Linked DNA regions of Schizosaccharomyces pombe. The gene in region 1 interacts genetically with each later gene. Each region holds a gene or a part of one and is shown in the gene's direction. Other genes may lie near its edges.

Evidence for each region. Genes that interact genetically often act in the same process or in processes that back each other up.
Region 2: of atf1 (region 1) and tup11, changing one suppresses a phenotype caused by changing the other (phenotypic suppression), as found in Schizosaccharomyces pombe (2 studies listed by BioGRID).
Region 3: of atf1 (region 1) and tup12, changing one suppresses a phenotype caused by changing the other (phenotypic suppression), as found in Schizosaccharomyces pombe (2 studies listed by BioGRID).

Annotation. Positions count from the first base shown.
Region 1 is NC_003423.3:1,544,320-1,553,916, forward strand, and holds atf1 (Atf-CREB family transcription factor Atf1), read left to right. Parts: upstream 1-1,897; 5' UTR 1,898-2,145; exon of another isoform or gene 2,146-2,541; intron 2,542-3,000; 5' UTR 3,001-3,341; coding exon 3,342-5,042; 3' UTR 5,043-5,543; downstream 5,544-9,597. Other genes in the region: contractile ring-membrane anchor Fic1, read right to left, coding at 1-346, 400-447; plasma membrane OPT oligopeptide transmembrane transporter family Isp4, read right to left, coding at 6,115-8,472.
Region 2 is NC_003424.3:296,938-305,379, reverse strand, and holds tup11 (transcriptional corepressor Tup11), read left to right. Parts: upstream 1-3,583; 5' UTR 3,584-3,668; coding exon 3,669-3,792; intron 3,793-3,859; coding exon 3,860-3,944; intron 3,945-3,968; exon of another isoform or gene 3,969-4,116; coding exon 4,117-5,752; 3' UTR 5,753-6,102; downstream 6,103-8,442. Other genes in the region: protein pat10, read right to left, coding at 351-380, 425-461, 520-609, 649-706, 845-917; SPOM_SPAC18B11.09C (serine O-acetyltransferase activity), read right to left, coding at 1,361-1,528, 1,587-1,664, 1,740-2,046, 2,149-2,219; SPOM_SPAC18B11.11 (GTPase-activating protein), read left to right, coding at 6,594-8,442.
Region 3 is NC_003424.3:371,976-380,386, reverse strand, and holds tup12 (transcriptional corepressor Tup12), read left to right. Parts: upstream 1-3,249; 5' UTR 3,250-3,270; coding exon 3,271-3,394; intron 3,395-3,455; coding exon 3,456-3,543; intron 3,544-3,940; coding exon 3,941-4,293; intron 4,294-4,556; coding exon 4,557-5,704; 3' UTR 5,705-6,071; downstream 6,072-8,411. Other genes in the region: gluconate transmembrane transporter inducer Gti1, read left to right, coding at 33-2,195; Rheb GAP, tuberin Tsc2, read left to right, coding at 6,423-8,411. UniProt on the Schizosaccharomyces pombe protein: Transcriptional repressor.

The DNA of each region.
Region 1 (9,597 bases):
ATAGAGGATCAGTGGGGATAAACTTGAATTGCACAGATAGCTCGCCAGCAAATTGGAACTCATTTTTTAGTTCATACCATTCACTTTGTAACTCTTCTTTCATCGCTTTCTCAAAAGACAATACAGTATCACCAATCAAGTGTGGATGCTTTCGAAATCCCTCGTGAAAAACGGTTATTTTCATAATATGATAAGATTCACTGGGAATGTTAAACTCCAGTACCGCATTCCACGATGGTTCTTGACCGCTTCTCTTATCCGTTTGCGTACGTTTTACCACCTCACCAACTCTGCAAACGCAGTAAGGGCTTTGTTTGCCCACTAGAGCCTTGTTTGGTAAATTTTTCTAAAGAAGACACGTTAGTTTTACAAAACAAATCTTCATCTTTTAAGACTTACAGCTTTCCATATTCGGACAACCAACGTTCCAAGAGGATTCTTTGACATATGGTAGATGGAGAAACGGGTTATAAACAAAAAAGCTACTTTATACAATTCGAGTGCGGATTTTAAGCAGTGCAGCGCAACTTCTGTAGGAGGGGGCTGGTTTGTCTCCGATAACGGGGGTTAGCTTTCGTTCATTCATTTAACGTAGCTTACTGCAATTTAAAATGCTTTAACGGAAATTTGTGTACGCTACGATATTGATGGCTCCAGTTAGGAAATTCGTGAAGAAAGATGCCGTGTTAAAAAAAATTAAAAATTAACAAAAAAAAAAAAAAAAAAAGAGAGACGAAAGTTATCGCAAACAAAAAGAACTTTATTAATATAACTAATTGCATTAATGATTGACTCAGTACACACCACACAAATATATTCACTTAATTTTAATTGTTTTAAAATGAGTGTAAAATATCTATTGGTATAACCAATTCCATCACAATTGCTAATTGAATGGAATGATTTGCATAAAATGTTTCTAACTTAATTTTTTTATTCTTTTATGTTTCACGAATACAAATTTATTTTGTTTTTAAAAAACTTCATTTTCTTTGCTTATCTTTTGGGTAGTTTTCGGATCCGTAATCCCAACAAAATGCCAACCCGTATTGACTAATAAGTTCCCGAAAATGTAAGCAAAAGATTTCATTGTAAAACAAATGAATTAGCTATTAAAACTGTTATTTAAATGTTGTAAGGGTTGGTATGTTATATATACAATCTAAGTCTATGTAAAGACTTTTTGAAAGATCCTACTGTACAGAATTCTCCATAATTGAATTCGTGACAAGTACTCATAATATTTGAAACTTGTATATTATTTCTGCGTATAACCTATCTTTATTTTTATTTTAATTTTATTTTTTACTTTATTTTATTTTATTTTATTTTATTTTTTCGTAGGTCTTCTGGAACTGCTGGATCTATTCATACATTGCTAATTACTCAGCGTACGTACACATCTTACAAACACGCAGAAGTCCAACCTAAAACACTTACCTACATACAACATAATATCAGAAATACACGCAACGATTTAGCTTCATCAAAGATATATTATTTATTCATTCATCGGTTAATATAAAATAAGCTTGAGTTAAGAGTGAAATAAGATTCATGGCACTATACACAAACTCACCATTTTTACTACATATTGCTAACATCATATTTGCTTAAAAAGCACGCACTCCATGATATACCAATAACATCCTACTTTCCGTCCATCCTTTCCCATTCCCCAAACTATCGATACGTTTCTTAACGATACGATAACACAAAATACAAAACTACACAGCAGTACTTTAAGTATCGTCTTGCTCGGTTTATTCCAGACCCATTTCCTTGTTACCCTTCTTCAGAGCCCCGCACGTGATTGGTTAAGTTCAATCATGCAAAGTGATGCAATGACGTCATCTGTTTGAAACAGGTGGAAGTGTGGCACTAGGAATTTACAACTTACCCTTTACTTACAACATAAGAAGAAAGAAACTACTTAGGAAATTGCTAAAAAGTTTACTTTGAGCACTTTTTGAACGATTGAATTGACGAAAACCATTTTTCTGTTTGTAAATTTCAGTTTGGACAGTTGACCGAGTCTTTTCATCATTTATACAGTAGTCATCGCTTAGTTGGATCTGAATTACGAATTCTCTGGTTCATGACGACGACCTGCTACTAGTACGTTTGGTTGATTAAGTCAAATAGGTATGTGTTTATACATGCAATTGTGAAGTTTGATTATGTAAAAGGCTGTAAAATTGGAAGAGCGTGATAAAAACGTGACGGGTTGTGTTGAAAACCGAATTTTTATGAAAATTTGAAAATTTGCTCCTATCGTCATTGACCCTACTAAACATGACGAGTATGACGCTTTCTTATCAATAACACTGATCGTTATGGGGTTGTTAGTTTACAGGAAACGTAAAATGTGTTTGGAATTCCTTCGTTTTTTGAGGGTTTGGAAATTTTTTTTTGGTGTTGTTGTGCTAGAAAATTTTACTTGTTACCATTGTAGGTTACTATTGCCTTGACTGAACTGGGATCTATGTGGTGGCAACTTTTGATGAATGATTTCTCGGAAGTGAATAAACGCACACGGGAAGAGAACAAGAGTAGAAAGGAAGCTAGAAGAGCGGAAAACCCGTTTTGTCTCGTTTTTGGCAAAAAAATTTCCAAAAAAGAAAAACGGGTGTTTTAGCAGGTGTATTTGCTGTTGAAGTACGAATCTCTTTATTACTCTACGCTTGACTGTACTCTCTCACATTAAGTTCTGAAACTCATTCAAAAAAGGCCTCCACATTCATATAATCCAAATCAACACACCCTAACAAAAACGATCGAACGAAGAAAAGGAAAAGAACAAAGAGTAGGAACATCCCTTTTATCTTTTGTAATTCTTTATTAGTTTCTTTGTTATTTTATTTGGACATGTTCTTTTACAAACTTGACTATTACCTTTGCGAGTTTTTTTTTACCCTTTGTAGAATATCTTCCTTCACAATCTTGCATATCTAGTCTTCTAGCTTTGCCTGTACAGACATCTAACTAATTCTCGTCTAGAGCCTCCGTCGCGGTTTTCCCTTTTTTTTTCGAGAAAGTTGTATTTTTATCTCCTTAATCTCCTCCTCCTTTTTTTTTCTTTTCTTTTTTATTGAAACAATATAGTTTCTATTTTTTCTGCTTTATCAGCCGTTATTACTTCTGTCTTGTCAAATTTGGAAAGCCATTAATTTCTTGTAGTTGTTTTTTTATTTAGTTTTGACAAAACTATTTTCGATCTTCTCTTTAAACGGGTTCATCTATATATCTAAATTATTTATTTTCGTTATTTAAGCGTGTGTGATTTTTAACGTCATCTCTTAATACATTTTGTCAAGTGTTAAAGCATAAATTCTTCAATTATGTCCCCGTCTCCCGTCAATACTTCCACAGAACCAGCATCTGTTGCCGCTGTTTCAAATGGTAATGCTACTGCTTCCAGTACTCAGGTTCCGGAAAACAATCAATCTGATTCATTTGCACCACCAAGCAACAATTCTCAGCAGAATCAACAGTCTTCAACTATCGCTCCTAATGGAGGGGCCGGATCTGTCGCTAATGCGAATCCAGCTGACCAATCCGATGGTGTAACTCCGTCTTTCGTAGGCTCCTTGAAGCTGGATTACGAACCCAACCCCTTTGAGCATTCATTTGGCTCTACCGCTTCGGTTGGACAAGGAAATCCTTCTCTTAATCGTAATCCTAGCCTTAGTAACATTCCTTCAGGTGTGCCTCCTGCGTTTGCGCGAACTCTCTTACCTCCTGTTTCTTCCATAGCATCACCTGATATCTTAAGTGGAGCTCCAGGTATTGCCTCGCCGTTGGGCTATCCTGCTTGGTCTGCTTTTACTCGTGGTACAATGCATAATCCCCTTTCTCCTGCTATTTATGATGCTACTCTTCGTCCTGACTACCTAAACAATCCTTCAGATGCATCTGCAGCAGCTAGATTTTCTAGTGGAACTGGATTTACTCCTGGTGTTAATGAACCCTTCCGATCTCTTTTAACCCCTACTGGAGCTGGATTTCCCGCTCCTTCACCTGGTACTGCCAATTTATTAGGGTTTCATACGTTTGATTCTCAATTTCCTGATCAATATCGTTTTACCCCAAGGGATGGTAAACCGCCTGTTGTAAATGGGACGAATGGTGACCAGTCTGATTATTTCGGTGCCAATGCTGCGGTTCATGGGTTATGCTTACTCTCCCAGGTTCCCGATCAGCAGCAAAAGCTTCAGCAACCCATCTCCTCTGAAAACGATCAAGCAGCATCCACCACTGCCAACAACCTCCTGAAGCAAACTCAGCAACAGACTTTCCCCGACTCTATCCGGCCATCTTTTACTCAAAATACTAACCCCCAAGCTGTTACAGGTACAATGAACCCTCAAGCATCTCGTACTCAGCAACAGCCTATGTACTTTATGGGGTCGCAACAATTTAACGGCATGCCATCTGTTTACGGCGATACAGTTAATCCTGCCGACCCTTCATTAACATTACGCCAAACCACGGACTTTTCCGGACAAAATGCCGAGAATGGATCCACAAATCTACCGCAAAAAACTTCTAATTCTGATATGCCAACGGCAAATTCGATGCCGGTCAAACTCGAAAATGGTACTGACTATTCCACTTCGCAAGAGCCTTCTAGTAATGCCAATAATCAATCCTCACCCACTTCTTCCATTAATGGTAAGGCTTCTAGTGAATCTGCCAACGGCACTTCGTATAGCAAAGGTTCATCTCGCCGGAATTCCAAAAACGAAACTGATGAAGAGAAACGTAAAAGCTTCCTGGAACGCAATCGACAAGCTGCTCTTAAATGTAGACAGCGTAAAAAACAATGGCTTTCTAATCTTCAAGCGAAGGTTGAATTTTATGGTAATGAAAATGAAATTTTAAGTGCACAAGTCAGTGCATTACGTGAGGAAATTGTGAGTTTGAAGACCTTATTGATTGCTCATAAAGACTGCCCAGTGGCCAAGAGTAATTCGGCTGCTGTTGCAACAAGTGTCATCGGAAGCGGTGATCTTGCTCAAAGAATCAATTTAGGGTACTAGACTGTTTTTGATCTGAAAAGGTCTCAGTCTGTGATGGTTGTAATGAAGAATAACGTTTTTACTTCCCTTTGACTTTCCCTCCGTTGAGGGTTGTAACGCCCTTTTCCATGCATTTAGCTATGTTATGGATGTGAAATTATATATGTTTATTTTACATTAAAAAATCTTTAGGCTTCTCTTTTTATATTTCTTCCCGTTTTCCATTACTGTTTTAATTTTGCACTGAACGCCGTCCCGCATGCATACTTTTAGTACTTTATGAAGTGATAAAATTTGTCTGTCGTGTCTAGTTCACTATAATATCGTTTGGACAACAAAAACTACACGCTTTCTTAATGTTTACCATTCATCACATGTGGCAGAGTTATAGAATACTACTTATAACTCATTCTTATGAGATTGATTTGATTTAATAATTAAAACTATATTATTTAGTAAGAATCAGCAGTGTTTTTAATAACAACTGATTACTGTTTTCCTTTAATGTAAGAAATCAACAAGTCTTAGTGTATTGTGGGAGTATTAATATCGTGAACAGTATATAAATCAAGTTAATGAATAGGTTTGTCATCGGTCATTTACATATCTATTATCATACGAACATGCATTCATAAGATGAAATCAAGTTAAAATTTGCACCTTCACAATATTTACTTTACTTAGTGAGTGTTTGTCGCTACATTGAGGATGTATACAAAAAGTGAAAATGAAATTACTGATGTTCACATTACAAAACGTATATAAAAATGCAAACGTTTGTTTCAATTTAGAACGAACTATTCAATTCTAACAACAATTAATAAAAAATAACAAATTAGAAAGCTTAATAAACATGAGATAAACTTGTTGAACGATTGATTAAACACAAATCTAATCATGCAACGTAAAAAAAAATAGACAACAATCAATCATCCAAAAATATATATTGCATAGATGTTGAATATTCAAACACTAAAAGAAAGTGTAGACATAATTAATTCACGAAGCTTTAGTATACAAATCAATGCTTATAATTTTTATCATTTGTTAAAAGATGGAAAAAAAAAACAAAGAAAAAAATACAGCATTGATTTTACCATTCGGCGGGACCAAAGAATTCACCTGCTGACTCATTGACGAGTTTCCTAACAGCGGCACCTGTAGCATCCAGCGTATTAAAGGCACCATCATTACCCCACCAATCTGGGAAATTAACCATAGGCAACTGTAAGCAAAAGAAAAGTATAATGACCGACAACTGCGTACCAGTATCAAGAGCAGCAGAAAGCGTGAAATTGTATTTCTGCCACCAGTCTGCGAATATCTTCTTCAGATAATAATTGAAGAACAGACCAATTCCAGACCAAGCCAGATAGTTTACAGGAGTAGCTGGGGGAATATAACCAGTACCTCCAAAAATTAGCGGGCCATTCAATTGACCCCACCATTTTTGAGGCCATTTCTTCCATAGAGCCCAGAACAAAATTGTACCCAGCACGCCAGCGAGCCAGAAGTACTGCAATCCCGTATAGGTGTTTTTTCCAGAAAACATTCTCTTGGGACCAATTACACCCCAAATAACGGAAGAATTAAAAAAGACAGTTGCATTAGGACAAGTGTAATTATCAGGTTGATCGGCCTGGCAAACATTATCAATATTACCCAAAGCCCAATCCAATACGCCGATCTGAACAAAGCAAGACCATATGGTGGCAATCATTTGGGTGTAAAACATGATTCTGGGAGGAAGCTTCATGTAATGACCAAACTTCAGATCGGCAGCGAAAGCCAATCCCTGAGTCATTGTAATATAACCGACAGTCTTGAAAATCATCATGGCCAAAGGACGACCAGGATACATATAACCAACGATAAACTCGGTGAATACATTCAAGCCTAGCTGGATGTTGGTTATAGCTTGAACGATGCCAATTGGAATGAACCATACAGCAGAGAAAATGACACCGACAATGATAACCCACCAAGGGGTTTCCGTTTTCCAACCATAAATAGTACCCATCATCATGCCGAAAAAGGCCAAGAAAACACTCAAATACCAATAGAAGGGAACTTCATCATAGGCTTTCATGAGTTTTTCATGGATATCAGGTGCGGGTGGATCGCGTAACCTGTCGTAGATCTCTTTTCCATGGTATAGGATCACGTGGAAAATGACAGAAGTGATGGAAGCGAAGGAAAGGCCAAATGCCAAAGCGTAGGTGGTGGACATGAAAATGGGAGAATAGTTTTGATAGGCATCCAAATCAAACGTAGCATCCTTGGTGAGGATGCGAGTAACGTTATAGCTATTACCAAAGTGATCGATAATACCAGAACTACTGATCGGTAGGTAATCACCATACCACGTGTTGGTAAAGTTAAGGGCTGGAGTGACGATCCAAAAGAATAGAATGACGCCCAAAAGAATGTTCATCAAAGCATCGGCAGGAGCCATGAGGGGGGAAAGAATGTATGCGGAAATTTGATTCCAATCAAAAGTCATGGGAAGGATGGAGATTCCGGTGGATTCACCAAAGATTTGATTTACAGTTGGACTATTAGGACGAATCCAAGTGACCCAAGCAAATAGGGAAAGGGCTTGGAAAATGTAGGAAGGGAACCAATTCCAAATGAATGAAGCAATAAAAACGTACAAAAAGAAACGGAAGGGGGAAATTCTCCAGCCATTGGCAACGGCGTTTCGTAAGTCTTTGCGATGTAAAGTCTTGATCAAGGTGCATTGAACGAGATTCACAGGCCACAACATACTAGCAGGACGGACCAAAAGTCTTCTGGATAAACCAGCCAATCCGTATCCGATAAGTTGAGTGGCCAAAGTCAAACAGATTTCGTAGCCAAAGCCGAAGCGCTGTTTGTAGTGTACACGTTGGGCGAGGATGATATCGGTGGAGTAGGCATTACCAAACGATACACTCGACATAACGACGATGAGAGCATGTTCTTTAACGTTAAAGGGACCAGGCTTAAAATTAAACTTTAAACGTCCAATGCGAAATTCGCGATCGGGGAAAATCAAGTCCCAAATCTGTAATGCTGGGTATGCGAGAAGCTCGGAAATCAAAACACTCAAAGTGACGGTTGGGTTTCGAAGGGAAAAGAACATGTTGACGGCGGCACCAACGGTGGAATAGATGAGACCAATGGTCCACATGCGAATGGTGTTGCATGGCATACTTGGATCATCGGTAGGAGGGACGGCGGCACGAACCTCTGGATAAGGAGAGTCTTCCTCAAACTCGTCAACCGTACTAATTTCACCATGTTCGACATCGAGAAAGGACTTTGTGTCTTTCTTGATGTCTTTGGATAAACTGTCATCGGAATGGCTAACGATGTAATCAGAGATGTCGACGGAGTCGGCCTTTTCCTTTGTAGAGGGGGAGTCATTCATATGCTCCTCGATGGGAGACTCATTGATGGAACCGATCATTATGGGAAGAAGGGAGGAGAATCAAGAGAGAGAGAGAGAGAGAGAGAGAAAAAAAAAAAGTCAAACTTGATTCACCAAAAAAATAAAAAGAAACAAACCAAAAATGGTTGAGAGAGAGAAATACTAGAAAAAGTTTTTGCTTAGTTTTCGAAAGAGAGGAAACAAGATTTTCCAAATAGAATTGACGAGAGACGAAACGAAAATGATGTATTTATGAAACGAAACGAAACGAACAGTGCGATACGATAAAGAAATCACAAAAAAATCACTACGAAACTTCACGGTGATTGAAGAAACGAGCAATGGATGGGATTTGGAAAAAGAGCAAAGTGTTTAATACTTCTTCATCAATAAAATTCGTGAAGGAAGAAAAACACCTTTATGTTTTTATGGAATCAACGTCCACGTATGTAGAGATAAAAATGTATACAAGATGGTTTTTATAGACTGTACAAAAATAGTATAGTCTAGAATAGAATAGTATAGTATAGTATAGTAAAGTAGAGTAGAGTATAGTCTAGTACAGCAACAATAACAATTTAGTTTTTGTTTTTTCTTTAACTTTCCTTTTCTTTTTATGTTACAATGGTTTCCAAACTTTTAGTATCTTGGAGCGGGCGGGGGGATTTAGCTGCCGAAAAACGTGCAAACAATAATCGATGTTAATTTGTTCAACTTTTATTTTGAGTTGACACATGGAGGGATTTTCACCTCTATATATAAAAGGGAAAAAAGGTGCGGCATTTGATTTTTTCCACTCGTAATCAATTCATTGCTCTTTCTTCCTTCCATGATAACCAACCCTTTCGCTCATTGTGTGTGAAATATGAATCAGAGATAAAGTCCTTATTACATAAATGGGATGCAGGAGATGACCAGTCAGTTCTATTCTATCTTGATAAAAGTCGTACTGTTGTCATGAAGGGGTCAGGGGCGGCAAAGCTTGACGATGGAGAGAGAGGAAGAAAGCACAATCGACAAAGTAGAACTGATAAGCAAAGCAAAGCAGAATTGACAAAGCAAAACGGAATTGAAAAAAGCACAGATGATGAGGATTCAAAGGGATGTAAAGCTGAAGAAAAGAAAAGAAAAAAAAAAGAAAAGGAAAAAAAAGAGGATTTGTTT
Region 2 (8,442 bases), on another chromosome or scaffold:
TAATCATAATCAAGGTCCGTGCATTTGTTAACGGTAAACTGTTGAACATGTGAAAATTATATATATTTACTTTAAGCCTTTGTTCTCATTGGGTTTAAAAAAGCAACTAAAATACATTAGGAAGAAAAAATGAAAGAGCAACAGGATGTAAGAAATAAATTTACATTTTCACTAGCTTAACAATGAGAAAACACAAACAGCCAATTTTTTACGCGTCTGCTACGTGATTGAAATGGTAGTTAGAAATGTATCTGAACTCTTCACCATTAGATATTTACATTGTGCATAAATTTAATTATCCAGAAAAAAATCAGCTTAATACTCTTATTAATTCACTGACTTAAAAATTACTAAGTTTTGTTTGGAGTATTTAAAAATTGCTGCACAAGTTAATCGACAAAGTAAATATAAAAATTCAACTTACCGGTAAATATGTTGACACAAGAGCCGCGATACCCATACTGATCAAATGTTAACATCCATAGAACTACATTAATGCAATGAATTAGGATTACTTACAAAGCCATTGAAGTCGGAGATGAGCTGGGAGACGTATTTGCGTTCAGTAAATTTGAAAAGGTTAGGATAAAAGCAACCCATGCAATTAATCTTCTCGTTAACATGAAAATCCTAAAATATCTTACATACTTGAAACGAAGAAATAAAGCAGCCATACACGTGGCTGTGCTTACCAAACTCAAGCCAACTATAATAGGGTTAGCAAACTTAATAAATTATTTGACGAAAGAAAGGATTTAAAATATTCCACAATGAACTAAAGCTTGAGCGATTAAATCAGCGTAACTCACGATTGGGTTCAATTTGAAAGTGCTTTCTACTTTACCTTCTTCATTTGCTTTGACTCTAGCTTTGTAGGGAACGATTAAATCAGGTCGTTTAAGTTCTGCAGGCGCCATATTTTATGAATTTTCGTTGTCGAGACTTCAGAACTGGTGAATGGGATGGTTCCTCTACAAGAATATAATGAAGTTAGTAATAAAATGTGTAAAATGGTTTTAGGTTAGGTTATTTAGCATTCAAATATATCGTGGGGGTTAAGAGTTCTTATCCCACTAAGAATTTCAACTATTTTAGACTTGGCTAAGCATTAGAATTAAAATCGATTGCAGTACCACGTGGGGGCTTTAGCAAGTCATAGGAGGAAACTGATCCTACTTGGCGAGTGAGAAATGGATTTCTTTTAGCATTCTAAGTCTTCTATATAACAATTTAAAGCTCAAACATAATATAATATTATTTATACTATTTTAAAAATTTAGGAACCAAGCCAGGTGAACTTAAGAAGTTCAAAGAGCATTTAATCGTTAGATGAAATAATAAAAAAAAAAATTACACTCGTTCACTCGTTTTCAATTTTACGAATAGGTTTGGCAGGTGATCCTACAGCCAACGTATTAGGTGGGATGTCTTTTGTAACAACAGCACCCGCTCCAATTACACTGCCTTCCCCGATAGTAACACCTGGGAGAACTATAACTCCCATACCAATCCAAACATTGTCCTGAATCTTGATAAAATTTTGTTTGTTAGTTGTAAGATGTTTCAATAACTGGACTAACGCATACGTTAATTGGTAAACCAAATTCAATTCCGGAGTTCCTTGCTTTAAAATCCAAGGGATGTGTTGCTGTACATAGTTGAACCTGGAAAGACACCATTAGTATATTTATTTTTTGAATGAATGACTTGAAAGTAACTATATATATATATAAACATACATTGGGGCCTAGCATTACATTATTACCAATAGTAATTATGGCAACATCTAGAAATGTACAATTATAATTTGCAAAGAATTTTTTTCCAAAATGAACGTTAAATCCGTAATCAAAAGCCATAGGTGGCTCAATCTCTGGTGCTGAAGATTCGTCAAATACAAAAACTTCAGCCAACAGTTCAGCTCGTCTTTTAATCAATTCTGCTGGGCCTACATTTTCCAAATCTCCCATAGTGTCATTAAACCTTCGCATTAATTTTTTAGCATTACATCTCGCTTGAGTCAACTCCTCGTCGTAAGCCTTGTACCTGTTATTTAGTAATTAGAATATCTCCCTGCGTTCAATGTGACTTCAAACATGTCAACGAAGATGATATATTAGCTCGACAAGTTTTAAGCATTAGCCTTACGGTTGACCAGATATCATTTTTTGGTATTCAATGGTTTTCGGTATCATTTTTTGTACACGAGTACGAGTCATTTCTGTCGGAAAACAAGTATATTCACTAGCATTGACAATGGGACTAGTAGAGTTATCGATGTATAAATAGACTTATATATATATATATATATGTATTGATATCAATATTAACAAATTGCTGATAAAACTATACGGAAACTTTTTAGTGAAATAGTTTGTAAAACGTAAGTAAAAACATCTCGATGATATATAGCGTCAGCTGTTACACTACATTATGCCCCACTATGCAACATATCATTAATTGTCGCATTGCTTTATGTCTGGCCCCTACTCGTATTACCACCAGCATACCAAAATTTATCAAGTTACAAGTAAATAGTTAGTGTAGCTTAACAAACGCTGAGGGCCGTAAACTGACAAGCAATAACAAGATATGCAATGAACGTTGTCCGTCCCTTTTTTAATCTTGCTTTCCTCCTGTATCATTAAACTGATTAAACTGGGTAGTAATCCCAAACTAATGTCATATAAAAAAAAAATTCAAAACAACTTAAATAGTACATCAAACAAAAATTGATAAGTAAATAAGCAATAAATATGATTTAAAAATAAATCCAAAGTGTATTTATTAATCGCCCTTGAAGTGTAAATGGCATATCGTGTCAGATTAAATGCTCAATTTCTGACGGCTTCGGTTTGCTGCGCTTAAACATTTTGCTTTAGTGTTAATAAATTTCAACTATGGGATTTTTTCATCCTTCTTCATGATAACTAGATTATATGAAAAAAGCATCTTTAAGACAACCAACAATGTTTTAATATCAGTAAAGTGCGTCAAATTTCGCATCATTAAACAAATAATGTCACTTATGATTAACTGAGTCATTAGCAAATGAAATGTGAATTTACGGGTTAAATACTATCATAACTTTTAATTAATACTTATCAAGATAAAACTCACTGTAATAATGTCTTACAAAGGTCGGTAAACAATCTAATTAAACAAGGATCAGATAATAAATTGATTAAACACAAATTTTAATTTTTTTATATTGATATATAAAAACGGTTAACAAATTTTTCCATCAATAAAAAAAAAATGAATTACACTACGTTTCAAAGTTATAACTATTTTTTTATAACAAACATCAACTGAAAAGCAAGAAAATCTATATTCAAAAAAATAATATAAACGCTACAAAAAATCAAACAGTAAAGGGTTTCGAATTGCTTTTCTCTATAATTCAAATGAATTTCAAAATAATTGGGACAAGTTGCCAACACACACGCCATACTAATTTTGTGATACTTGCTCAACCAAAAATATGTAGCACCACATTCTCTATTTAAAGATTAGCGCAGCACAAGGAGCCGCTCGATAAAAGTGCTGCTACAAACGTTCAAGAACACAAGTTTATTCTTGTACCACAATTCAAGTGTTGCTATTGTTGTAAAAGGGCGTATATCAATCGGATTCAGTTTTTGCAATAAGTCTGACTGAAAAAAAAAATGGCGTCAGTGGAGGATGCCACGAAAGTTCAAGAAATGCTGGATGCGTTGAAGGCTGAATACAATGCTTTGGCTCATCATAGCTTCGCGTCCAAGGCGCGCGGAAACGACTATGAATCTTCTAGTACGTGTTTGAATAAAATAAATTAAATTAGCTATTTTTTGGAAACTAACATTCTGTTCTATTGCAGTGATACAATCTCAAATTCAAGAAATTGAAGCGTTCCGAAAAACCGTGGATGATATGTATGAAAAACAAAAATCTATTAGAGAAACGTAAGTTTTTATATGTTAAAGGTATCGAGGGATTATATAGTATCTACTTCTTTTCTGTGAAATTCATCATTATTTTATAATAGCATACGTGTCGCTCGAGATTTATATGCTTGAAGTAAAAAAAAAAAAACCTTTATAACATCTGTCTTCACCAATTTACTAACATTTATAGGTACGAAAAAGATATCAACAAGTTGAAGCGAGAGCTTGAAGAATTAGGTGTCGAAGCGAATACCGCAAGTTATAGAAATCGTGGAGAAAGATCTGAACTTGCCGCTTCTAATAATCAAGTTACCCATATTGATCAGGAACATCCCTCTCAAACCAAATCTACTTCTCAGCCTCCAAGTAACCATCTACCTGCCTTTCAGCAAATCCCTCCAATTCACCAATCAGCTTATCCTCAAAATAATGTTGCTGAAGTATTGATGCCTCCAATTCCTCCTTCAGTAGAGGCTTCTAGCGGGCAAAATTTTAATCAGGGAATTGCTTCTCAAAATCCCGCGATATCTACATCCAATTTACCTAGTACTACACCTTTATATATCCCTCCTGTTAATTACGGAGCAAATCAGGTTTCTCAACAACCAAATCCTCAATTGCCTGGTGTTTCCAATTATTATAATCCAAGTGCTACTTCAAAACCTGCTGTGAATGTCCAGCCACCGCGTATTCCTACCAAAGCAACTCCTTCGGCTGAACCTTCTATGACTGCTTCTGCGAATGCTGGTTCTATATCCCAAGCGGGTCCTGATGGAGAATATCAGGGAAGAGAACAGATTGCTCCAGTTTCAGATACAGAAGCTGCTAGAAAGACAACTTCTCAGAGTTGGTACGTCACTTATAACCCAGCATGCAAAAGGGTTTTTAATATTAATCTCGTGCACACACTAGAGCATCCCAGTGTTGTTTGCTGCGTTAAGTTTAGTAACAATGGCAAGTATTTAGCAACTGGCTGTAACCAGGCCGCTAATGTCTTTGATGTTCAGACTGGCAAAAAACTTTTTACTTTGCATGAAGAATCACCTGATCCTTCCCGTGATTTGTATGTGAGAACCATTGCTTTCAGCCCTGATGGTAAGTATTTAGTCACGGGAACAGAAGATCGTCAAATAAAACTCTGGGATCTCTCAACTCAAAAAGTTCGTTACGTATTTTCAGGTCATGAACAAGATATCTATTCCTTAGATTTTAGCCATAATGGGCGATTCATCGTCTCTGGTAGTGGCGATCGAACTGCACGACTCTGGGATGTGGAGACAGGTCAATGTATTTTAAAGTTAGAAATTGAGAATGGTGTGACGGCAATAGCCATCTCTCCAAATGATCAATTCATTGCAGTTGGTAGTCTAGATCAGATAATTCGAGTATGGTCTGTGTCGGGTACTTTGGTTGAACGATTGGAAGGTCATAAGGAGAGTGTTTATTCTATTGCCTTTTCGCCCGACAGCAGCATTCTTCTTAGTGGAAGTCTTGATAAGACTATCAAAGTCTGGGAATTACAAGCAACTCGTTCAGTTGGCCTTTCAGCTATTAAGCCTGAAGGTATTTGCAAAGCCACCTATACAGGACATACTGATTTTGTTCTTTCAGTAGCTGTTTCACCCGACAGCCGTTGGGGATTAAGCGGATCGAAGGATAGAAGTATGCAATTCTGGGATTTGCAAACAGGCCAATCTTATCTCACTTGTCAAGGACACAAGAATTCAGTTATTTCCGTATGCTTTAGCCCAGATGGTAGGCAATTTGCTTCGGGAAGTGGTGATTTACGTGCTCGCATATGGTCAATTGACCCTGCATCTCCTTGAATTTTTGTTCCTGTTTACATATAACTATTTGCTCTCGGAAATAGTTAACCGCATTGATTTTTGGTTACAAAGTTTACAAACTAAATTTTGTAAACTCTATTACTACACTGGTATATTTCCTTAATTTGTATCATATTTTTTTTGCAATATTATTTCCTTTACTTACGGTCACAATAGACAAATCATCACTCAGTTTTTTAATGTCACTAATTTTGGAGAATGGCTTCTCTCATAAATTAACTGAGACACTTTTTATTTAAAAAATAAACAATTAATAAAAAATTCCTTAATTTTTAATTTTAGTTCTATGATAAATGTTGCATAACTTGAGATAATACTTAATACTTTTCAATGTAGATTCTTGAAATACATGTGGTTGATTAAACATTTTTTAAATGGTTATTCTTGTATTTAGTAATTTGCATATCTCCACCTTGACTCCGAAATTCACCAACAGATTTATCATATACTCGCTAAAATTATGTATGTATTAACCATCTTCTGACTTCTTCAACGCGAAGAAGACTCATTGTTTCGATTTTATTGACTAAAACATAGAAATTGAATAAATCCTAATCGATGCTATATTGAGGTGTGCTTTTACAATCCGTTACAGTTCGATATCTGCACGTTTCTTAAGGCTATCTTTTCAGGAGTTTATAATAATCCTCCACGGCTTAAGCAGTCTATAATTTGGGTTTACTTCATTAAATCTTTAATTTAGCACTTTTTAAATATATTTAAAATCTTAATACTTAAATCGGTGCCAACCCAGGACCTATATTACGTTTGGGTTAAAGAAAAATTGTCGTTGTTTGCTGCATCGATTTATATCTAAGCTATGAAGGCTTTGGATATAGACACGATTCTCACCCAAATATCGAATCAACAGTCATTGGATAAACGCTACAAACGCATAAAAAGGCTCATCAACAATGAGCAGTTTTGTAAAAATGTAATCCTACAAAAACTTGTTGATTCCACTAAAGACATTATTGAAAATAAAGTTCACGGAAACATACTGGCAGCCACTATTTCCTTATGGACTCATGCAGCTGAAAAGCATAAAGAAATGTCTTCCGATGACCGTGCACTATTATTCAACGAGCTGTCAAAGGTTCCGAATTCTGAATACTATCCTGCTACTGTAGACGCCTTGATTGTTATTACATCCCAAGGCGAAAGAACTGAGTCTTTTTCAAATGACATACTTAAAGTTTTGTCTGAATGGTTGACTGATTTATTTACGATTATTGATGATATGCGAGCTCAGTCGAGAAAATCCTTCAAAGGAAGTGCTGAATTGAGAAATTACACCCGTTGTTTTCGTCAGATAATTCTCTTGCTTACGAATATGTTCAGGGTGGGCTTTAATTTATTTGATGAAATGGAGGTTTCTTCTATGCTAGCGAATTGTGTGTGGGTCTCAAAAAGCACCACCGATGAAGAAGACATTGCATTAGTTTTTTCGTTATTAAATTGTATTATATCCTATGGTCGCATATCTTCCGCTGTTTTGTATTCTATTGTTGAAGTAGTATGTCGAGCAAAATTTGGCTTAGTCGCAAGCTCACAATCAGCTCAGCAGATTGTTGAGAAACTGTTGAAGACAGCGACCAAGTACGAAGCACTTAATTCCCTAAAACGGATAATGGAAGAGACAGATGAAGGTTCTTATATAGCGATTATGGGTGGTATTCAAATCGTGAGTGCTCTCTTTACCGATATCCCTAGATCAGTGTATTGCACTAGAGGAATGCTGCTTGGATTCCTTCAAAGATCCTTAAAGAATAAATCTAGTCGAATAGCTTTAGAAACCACTCGTTCTTTATATAATGCTTTGGAGCGCCGTTCTTTTGTTGAAGTGCTTTATGCAGATGAATGGATCAGCCTTTTAGATTTGCTTGTTGAAATATCTTCATCACTTCCTAAATCTCTCAATTACCGACCTGGAACTTGGCAGCACATTGAGCCTAATATAATTGAGTCTATTGCATCGTATCAATTACAACATCTTCTTTTATTTAACGAAATTTTAAAACCAGACTCTAATCATTTTGTTCTAGAGAAGTTTCATGAGTTCCTGAAAATTAATTTTTCATATTTAACCCCTACACTTAGCCAAAAGTTGTTTACTGTTCTTGATTTACGATCACAGTTGCCATATTCGGAAGGATGGCTTGAGGATCAAACAATTCTACTTAAATCTTATTTTGATACTAGTTTTTCTTTGGATTTCCATGTCTACTTAATTGGTCTCTTTAGAAAAGTTCTATTTGCTTGTCCAGTTGAACTTCGCCCTGAAGTGTATGCTCGAATGCTTTGTCCCTTAGTGAAAAGTTTGGATAAATCTAGTTCCGAAGTTATAATTGATGAAGTTATTTCCTTAGTTTGTGATTTATCTTGGATATATCCATCGAATGTATTTCACGAGGTGAAAGACTCATTATGCTTTTATGCTCATAACAGCAGTAATGGGGATTTACAACTTAGATCTATTCAGGCAATAGTAAGCTTAACATTTTATTATGTTTTGCTACCCGAATTTAAATCAGTGCTTTACGATGGGTTGGTCGAAATTTCGTGTGATTTCAAAATTCGACGTACTTTTCGAATTCCAGTATTGAAGTTATTATTACAACTACGAATAAACACTAATGACTATTGTTTTGTTAACTTGTCTCCCGCTC
Region 3 (8,411 bases), on another chromosome or scaffold:
CTTTTTCTTTTGCCTCGTTTCTTTCCTTTTTCATGACCGAACCTGGCAATCTTCAACCGACATTTGTCGGTTTCATTGGCACTACTGTCGATGCACTCTTGCTCTTTGAGGCTTGTCGTCAAAACTATACACACTTTGTCGACCGTCGTCCCCAAGATCGTGAGCGCGAACGTCTCATTCGTTCGGGAAGTGTGTTTGTCTTTGATGAGGTTCAGTCCGGTATAAAACGCTGGACCGATGGTATCGCCTGGTCTCCTTCCAGGGTCATTGGCAACTTTTTAGTGTACAGGCAACTTTGCAAGAAGAATTCCGTTTCCGATCGTAAGCGAAGCTCAAAGTCTCGCTCCGACAGCGACGAAGAGGAGGTTTCCGCTTTTACCGTTTCTGTTCCTGTCGACGTTGACGTTGCTTCCCACGTCAATATTAGTTCTCCGTCTGCTCCTTCGCTTAGTGACAACCTTTTTCCAGGTTCTTCTTTTTCTGCCTCTTCTCAGCAGAATCCTTCCTCCCCTGGCTCCAATGACATCAAATCCGAATTTGCCGCTGTTAAAAATGAATATGTGCTTTCCCCTACTAGTCCCACCACAAGTGCTGCGTTCCCGTCTTCCTTTTCTTCGTTGCCCCTTGTTTCCTCCAAACCGACTGGTACCCCCTTTGTCCCCAAGTCTCCCCCGTCCTCATCTCCATCCACCACCAATGTTTCCAATGCTTCCACTTCTTCCGCGCCCATAAATCCCAGGGCCCCTCAGACCAGGCGTGAATCCATTTCTTCCACTTCATCCATCCATTACTGTTCCTCCTCTTCCCTTTCCTATCTCCATGATACCGAAAGAGCCTTGGTGGGCTCACTCACCGACTCTTACGGTTTTAAAAAGAGTGGCCTGATTAAAAAAACTATCTCTTTAATGATTGATGGTCGGCTTCACCATCTCATATCTTATTATACCCCAGAAGACGTGCTCAATGGGAAACTTCAAACGCCCAGCTCGTTCAATTTGTTTCAACAGTTAACCATTTCAAAAGATCTATTAGAGTACAAAAGCTTCCGTATTCCTCCTTTGGTTGAGGCTGCGGAATCTGAAAAGATTTCTCAATTGAGTACGCTAGAAAAGCGAACTCTTCCGTCTTTTCCTTATAACCCTTTCTTCTCTTCCTCCACTGCTGAGATTGATCCTTACCATTTTCAGGGTCTTACTCTTTCTACCTCTCCGATTTCTGGTGTAGAGTCCTCTTCTCTCTCTTCTGCAATATCTAGGAATCAGTCTAATCTTTCATCTTTTCAACAACAGCAGCAATTTTCGGCTTTGCAGTCAATTTCAAACAATGCCTTAAATGAAAATATTGAGCAGCCTCCGATAAAGATGGCTGCTCGTCATTCCTACCCAAACTTTTTACAGACTCTTCCACAGTATATGAATGATGTTTATAATCCATCCGGATTAGCCTTTAACCCTGTGAATCCCAATGCTAATAATTCATTTGTTAATTTGAATTTAATTCAATTCACATCACCATCTCAAGCTCTGTTCGATTACGGAGAAGGTCCTTATGTCGACCAAAAATCACAGTATTTGCAGCCAAAACAGCCGTCTTCTAACACTGATTCAATTGACCAATCTTCCTATAACATGTCTCTTGCTGCTTCCAAACAATTTTTAACGTCTGACACGCAACCCGATGTCAATGAAAATTACTCTTTTATTTCCAATTCTATCCCAAAAAACTTATCCACCTCTTGGAACCAGAATATGGGTTATCATGTAACTAATTCAAACTCAGAACTGGCCTCTCAAAACCCGCTTTATGCTCAACAGGCCGTGTCAATGGAGAGTATGGGCAATGCCATTCAGTCAAGCGCTTATTCCGCTATGTCGACTCCGCATGGAGGTCATTATGACCACTATGCCGCCACTGCGAAAGGTAAAAATCCTTTAGCTGCTGAAAACCACGCTTCTGGTGGTCGTTTACCCAAGGTTCCAATTCCTCCACTCTCGAATATGCGTCGAGGATCTGTTCCTATCATACCTTCATCTGCTTCTTTACCAATGCGTACTTCGGGAAATCGATTCTGTCATTATTCTTCATTAAATGGAAATCACAATCGAATTTCGGCACGTACGAATCCTTATCCCATTAACAACCAAACGATGCTTTTTACTGAACCACTTTCAAAAGAACGCGGCTCCTTGTCATGATTACAAAAAAATTCTTACGAATATTAAGTTTTGTGAGGTTTTTTTTCTTTTTTTTTTTTAAATGTCTTAACGTTATGTATTAATCCTTTTATCCAACTCTTGTTATATGTGCCATATATAAGTAAAAACATTCCATTCAAGTAATGTTTTTTTTATGTGTTTACTGCACAGCTCAATATCTGTTTTTGTACTATTTGCTTTACATTCTGTTCATGTTAGTGGTAGTTTTCAGATGCTCTAGGATAGCTTTTTCCACCAGCAATAACTTATTCTTCAAAGCGGCTTTAAAATTGAAGTTTTTGCGAGTAGCATACTAAATGAATATTTATGCCAAGCAAACAAACCCTTTCAATAAATCTAGGAAGTGTATCATAGTAAATTAAGTCAATGGGCTGAGGAGCAGGCCGTCTATGGCGTATGAAAATTCGAGACTAGTTTCTGGAAATAGCATATAGTGTTTTCAAAGTTATTCACTATCAAGATGAAATTAAATTACGTTAACTTCTATGGAATTCATCCTTAAAGTAAGTTTGTTTCAAAATACCCATAAAATAGTTTTCTTGATTGACTTTAAGAATTCATATTAGGATTATGACATCTACACTTTTGTAAAACTAAACTTCCAATAAAAACCAATACCAAATAATGTTTTATTACCAATTGTATCAAAACGCTTCATATTCTTCCCAAAAAAAAAAAAAAAGGATCTTCTATCTAAAGATTTTCAAGGTTTTAGAGTTAAGATATTTCACGAACTAATTCAAAAAGGGTTTCAATCGATTAACGTTAAAAAATATGTTTTACGAGGTTTCATCACAAATTAATGATTTTACATTTTCCAACTGCGGCAAGTTGAATGAACAGCCAAATTACTAATTCAACAATATTGTCTCGCTAAGCATAAGTGAAATTGTCTTTCCTGACATGTTAATCTCAACATAGTTTGCTTACTTTAGCTTCGAAGCCGAGAAGGTTTTACCGAAATTAACGAATGTTATTTCTCGTTATTTCTCAAACAACATCATTCATGATTACTGTCCGCCAATTCACTTTTACCATCTTCAAGTTTCAATTTATGGCGACGTCCAATGTATCATCACGTGTAAATGAGCTTTTAGAAGCGGTTAAAAAGGAATTTGAAGATATTTGTCAAAAAACTAAAACCGTTGAAGCTCAAAAGGATGATTTTGAATATAAAGGTATCTTATACAAGAATTTGCTGACAAATTTGCGGTACAAATCTAACACTTCTTAAATTAGCAATGATATCTGCACAAATTAATGAAATGGCGCTCATGAAACAAACCGTTATGGATTTGGAGATGCAGCAGTCTAAAGTGAAGGATCGGTATGTCAATTTTCCTAATACACGCTTGGCGAGAAGGTTTGTTATATTAGTACAAGGTTATGCAATTATTGTGAGTGTTGTAGAGTCTTACAAAAGCGATTCCTCTCTAAATATTTATACAATTTACGGTCGTTGACGATAAATCTTTAAAGATGCTAAATAATGGTGGCTCCTTTGATGGGAGTAAATTCTATTAAGTAATCTTTTCATATTTTTACTCCGATGAAGGGTATTTCGTTTTTTACTCAGTATTTGGATGTTTATCACTGTTCGAAGATTCTCTGTCCTTTTCACACTTTTGTCAGCACCAGCATGCCTTCTGCTATGTGAACATTTATTCTCAATTTTATATTATATTTTCTCGAAAGCTATCTTTCTTGTTACTAACTCTCTCTAGTTACGAAGAAGAAATCACCTCCTTAAAAGCTCAACTGGAAGCTAGACGCAAAGAAATTGCTTCTGGCGTCGTCCCACAGTCTTCGAAAACTAAACACGGGCGCAATAGCGTTTCTTTTGGAAAATATGGAAATGCGGGCCCTTTTAACTCGGACAACTCCTCGAAACCTTTGATACTTAATAACGGTTCTTCTGGAGGAACTCCTAAAAATCTTCGATCACCTGCCATTGATTCAGATGGTACTGTTTTAGCTCCTATTCAGACCTCGAACGTAGATCTTGGTTCACAATATTATTCCAGTCCTCATGTACGCCCTGCTGTGGGTGCAACCATGGCTGGATCTGCTATGCGAAGTAAGTTCAAGCTTGCATTGTAGCTTTTGGCAACAGCATTTGTTTTTTGACTTGATCAAGTTTATAGATACTTTTTGTCTTTCACTTTATTGTTTGCATCTGGTATGTTGTACACCGTATGTTCCCAGACAATTTTTTAATGCTGTCATTAATTCGTTTGAATTCCTTGCGGCTTTTGTTCATTTTTTGTAAAACAAAATACTATTGCCGAAACTATTTTGCTTCCTCGTTTTAATTTGGATTTTCTTACTTACCATTCACAGCATTTCCTTCCAATTTACCGCTCGGACATCCTCCACCTCCATCTGACTCAGCTAATTCTTCCGTCACACCTATCGCTGCTCCTTTGGTTGTAAACGGAAAAGTCTCAGGTAATCCTCCTTATCCTGCTGAAATTATTCCGACATCCAATGTGCCTAATAGAGAGGAGAAAGATTGGACTGTCACTAGCAATGTACCTAACAAAGAACCCCCGATCTCTGTTCAACTACTTCATACACTGGAACACACAAGCGTTATTTGTTATGTAAGGTTTAGTGCCGATGGAAAATTTTTGGCTACGGGTTGTAACAGAGCAGCTATGGTTTTTAATGTGGAGACCGGTAAATTAATTACGCTTCTGCAGGAGGAATCTTCGAAGCGTGAAGGTGATTTATATGTTCGCAGTGTAGCATTTAGTCCTGATGGTAAATACCTTGCTACTGGTGTCGAAGATCAACAAATCAGAATATGGGACATCGCTCAAAAACGTGTTTATCGTCTACTGACTGGGCATGAGCAAGAAATTTATTCCCTTGATTTTAGCAAAGATGGAAAAACATTGGTTTCTGGTAGTGGAGATAGAACTGTTTGTCTTTGGGATGTTGAAGCTGGCGAGCAAAAACTAATTTTGCATACCGATGATGGTGTTACTACAGTAATGTTTTCTCCCGACGGTCAATTTATTGCTGCAGGTTCTTTAGATAAGGTAATTAGGATTTGGACATCGTCCGGAACTTTAGTAGAGCAGCTTCATGGTCATGAAGAGAGTGTTTACAGCGTTGCCTTCTCTCCTGACGGAAAATACCTGGTTAGTGGAAGTTTGGATAACACAATTAAGTTATGGGAGTTGCAATGCGTCTCCAACGTTGCACCCAGCATGTATAAGGAAGGCGGTATTTGCAAGCAAACTTTTACTGGACATAAAGATTTTATTCTAAGTGTCACTGTCTCTCCGGATGGAAAATGGATTATTAGCGGCTCGAAAGACCGAACCATCCAATTTTGGTCCCCCGATTCTCCTCATTCTCAGTTAACTCTCCAGGGACACAATAACTCAGTAATATCGGTTGCTGTTAGCCCGAATGGCCATTGCTTTGCTACTGGTAGTGGTGACTTACGAGCAAGAATTTGGTCTTATGAGGATCTGTAAGAACTAGCGATGTTTCATTTATAGCATTGAATGACAATGTCCGAAACCTACTTAATTTTTTAATTCTTCATTTGCCAATAATGCCCATTGACCATTGTGAGACTCGCTTCTTGGCAAGTCTTTTTTCCTTTATTTTATAAAAATTCATAACCGATTTTGTAACCCTTCAAACTTGCGGCTTATTTTGGTCGGAATTTTTCTATCAAGTCAAGCCGACCAGATGTTTTTGCTAATTCTTGAATCATTTCAATTCCCTTTTTTTAATTTTTGATACTTCCATACAATCCCCGACAACCGAAACTCTGATTTTATCCATAGTATTTCATTAACTATTAAATCCCAACTTTTGTATATATTTAATAGACCCTTCAAGTTATGTATATGTTTGCGCGACCTAGCTACTTAGCAATTGGTTTTTACGGTTAAATAACTTCATATATTTTTTGAATTTTGAATGTCGAATACTAAGTTTCTATTTATTAGTTTTAATGTCGTTTCAACCTATTCCTCTTAGATAAGGTAATGCTTCCCCTAATTCATAGCAGCCTGTCAGCTCTCCTCCCCACCCCTACCAGTGTAGCTAATACTTGAAATCAACTTCCATGCTCATAGTTTATGATCTTGAATATTCCATTAAGTTAAGAGTTCAGATTTGCTTTATGTGGTTATTCTGCTGAAGGTCCTAATTTATTGACGTTGAAAAATAAAGGCCACATAGATGAACAATAAATCACTTTTGGATCTTTCTAGTGAGCCTGCTATCAAAGATACAGACATTCTATCATATTTTGATGCTAACCTTCCTTTTAAAAAAAGGCATCAGATTGTAAGGAGTATTTACCATGGCTTAAAATACTATATATATTCATCGACTTCTATCATTCAAGTATGGCAAAATATTCAGGATTTTATCTCCACCAAAAACGATAATGCTGCTTTTCGGGAGCTTGTATACAATCTTATGATGAGATATGTTTCTACACAAAAGCATCTCTCGATTATAGAGCGCCACACTTTTTTTCAAACTATTGAGAAAGATCCTTTTCAAGATATTGCTGAATTACAGCTTCGGCTTAAGAGTTTGAGTGTTTTAACGGATGAAGGGCACAAAATCTCCGGTATTGAGAATAGGGTTGGTCCTTTGTTGAGTGCATGGTTTAACCAGTATCTTCAATGGCAATCTCAAGCAACTGAATTGCAAGGCAAAGACGCAGATTCAAAGCTCGTACATTTGCTTTTTTTTAAAAGCCTTTTTAAGTTTTCTACCAACTTAGTAAAATTTCAGTGGTTCCTAGTGCCTGAACCTCAAATGCTACAGCTTGTTAATTCCGTGGTACAAATATGTAATCACGCTCGCTTAGAAGATGTGGTTACTGAGGTTCTGATGTTTTTTGATTCCATGATTCGCTACTCGGTTATTCCAAAAGCTTCACTGTATGATACTGTTCTTATTTTGTGTAGCACATACATCAGCACCTACTCATATTCGAAACTTGCACAATCTGTTATATTTAATCTTATTAGTAGTCCCGTGTCAAATCTGGCTTTTGAAAACGTATTTAATATACTTCAATACAATCGCTCGAATGTTAATGCTGTACGGGGCGCTGTGCGTTTAATGCGTTTTCTCATGCTGCAAGAAGTGAAAAATGATGCAATAGCTTCTATAACTTTAAGTTCAAGTATTGAATTTACTGAGTTTCCATTAGGATTTAATGAGAATGTTGATTTTGAGATCCTTGGTACTGTGTATCTTTTTTTACGTACACCTTCTATATTAAATCGCCTTAATTTTTTGGATTGGCATCGGATTCTTAATATTTTAATGTATTGTTCACAATATCTACCTTTGAAAGCTAGTACATCGAAGGAAGCATTTTCGAAGACTGCAGCATTTGCTAATATATATGATCGTGTTTTGGATTTTTTGGATTTCGAAGCCTTGATTCCACTGCTGCAACAATTTCAGGTTAAGCTGGTATTCTTTTTGAAGGATGTTCTTCCAGTGTTAAAGCCGAAAATTCGAAAAAAACTTTTACGTCTTTTTGAGACTTACAATCTTATATTTCCTTGCAATCAATATTGGGTATTCAACCTTGAATTTTTACTTGGTATTTACCAATGCAAAACATTTGATCTTGAAGATCGAGCTCTTTTATTTAAGCTTGTGGAAGATGCTTGCTCTGTTGCTGATGAAAATTCGGCCCCCATTTTGTGTTCGAAATTCCTTTTTCCAGTAATTGAAAGCTTTTCTAAGGAATCTGATGATTGTGTTGTTTCTCCTGTATATAATATGTTGTTTTTCTTGTCTGTCAATTTTCAAAACCCGGGACTTAAGGATTGTATCGATCATATTTTTCAACAGCTAATTTCCGACACGAGCTCTGTTACTGTTCGCAGACTTGCCACGAGTACATTAATTCGTCTTTTTTATTATTATTATGACTTAAGGGATGCTGTGCCTATTCAAGAAACACTGGCTAAAATGTTAGAAATCTTGGAGACTCCATCTTTCCCTTTTGTTTCTCGAATGTTGTGTTTACAATTCTTTCTTCGATTTCGAGCAAATGGGACGTCTATTTATATATGTGAGAATATAGATTTGAATGAACCCTTCAAAGTCTTAAACGTTGATTCAGAACTGATTCCTGCAGTTTATCCCATTTCTGATTCTTTTGTTAACTCAGCAACAGTAGAAAAGCATATT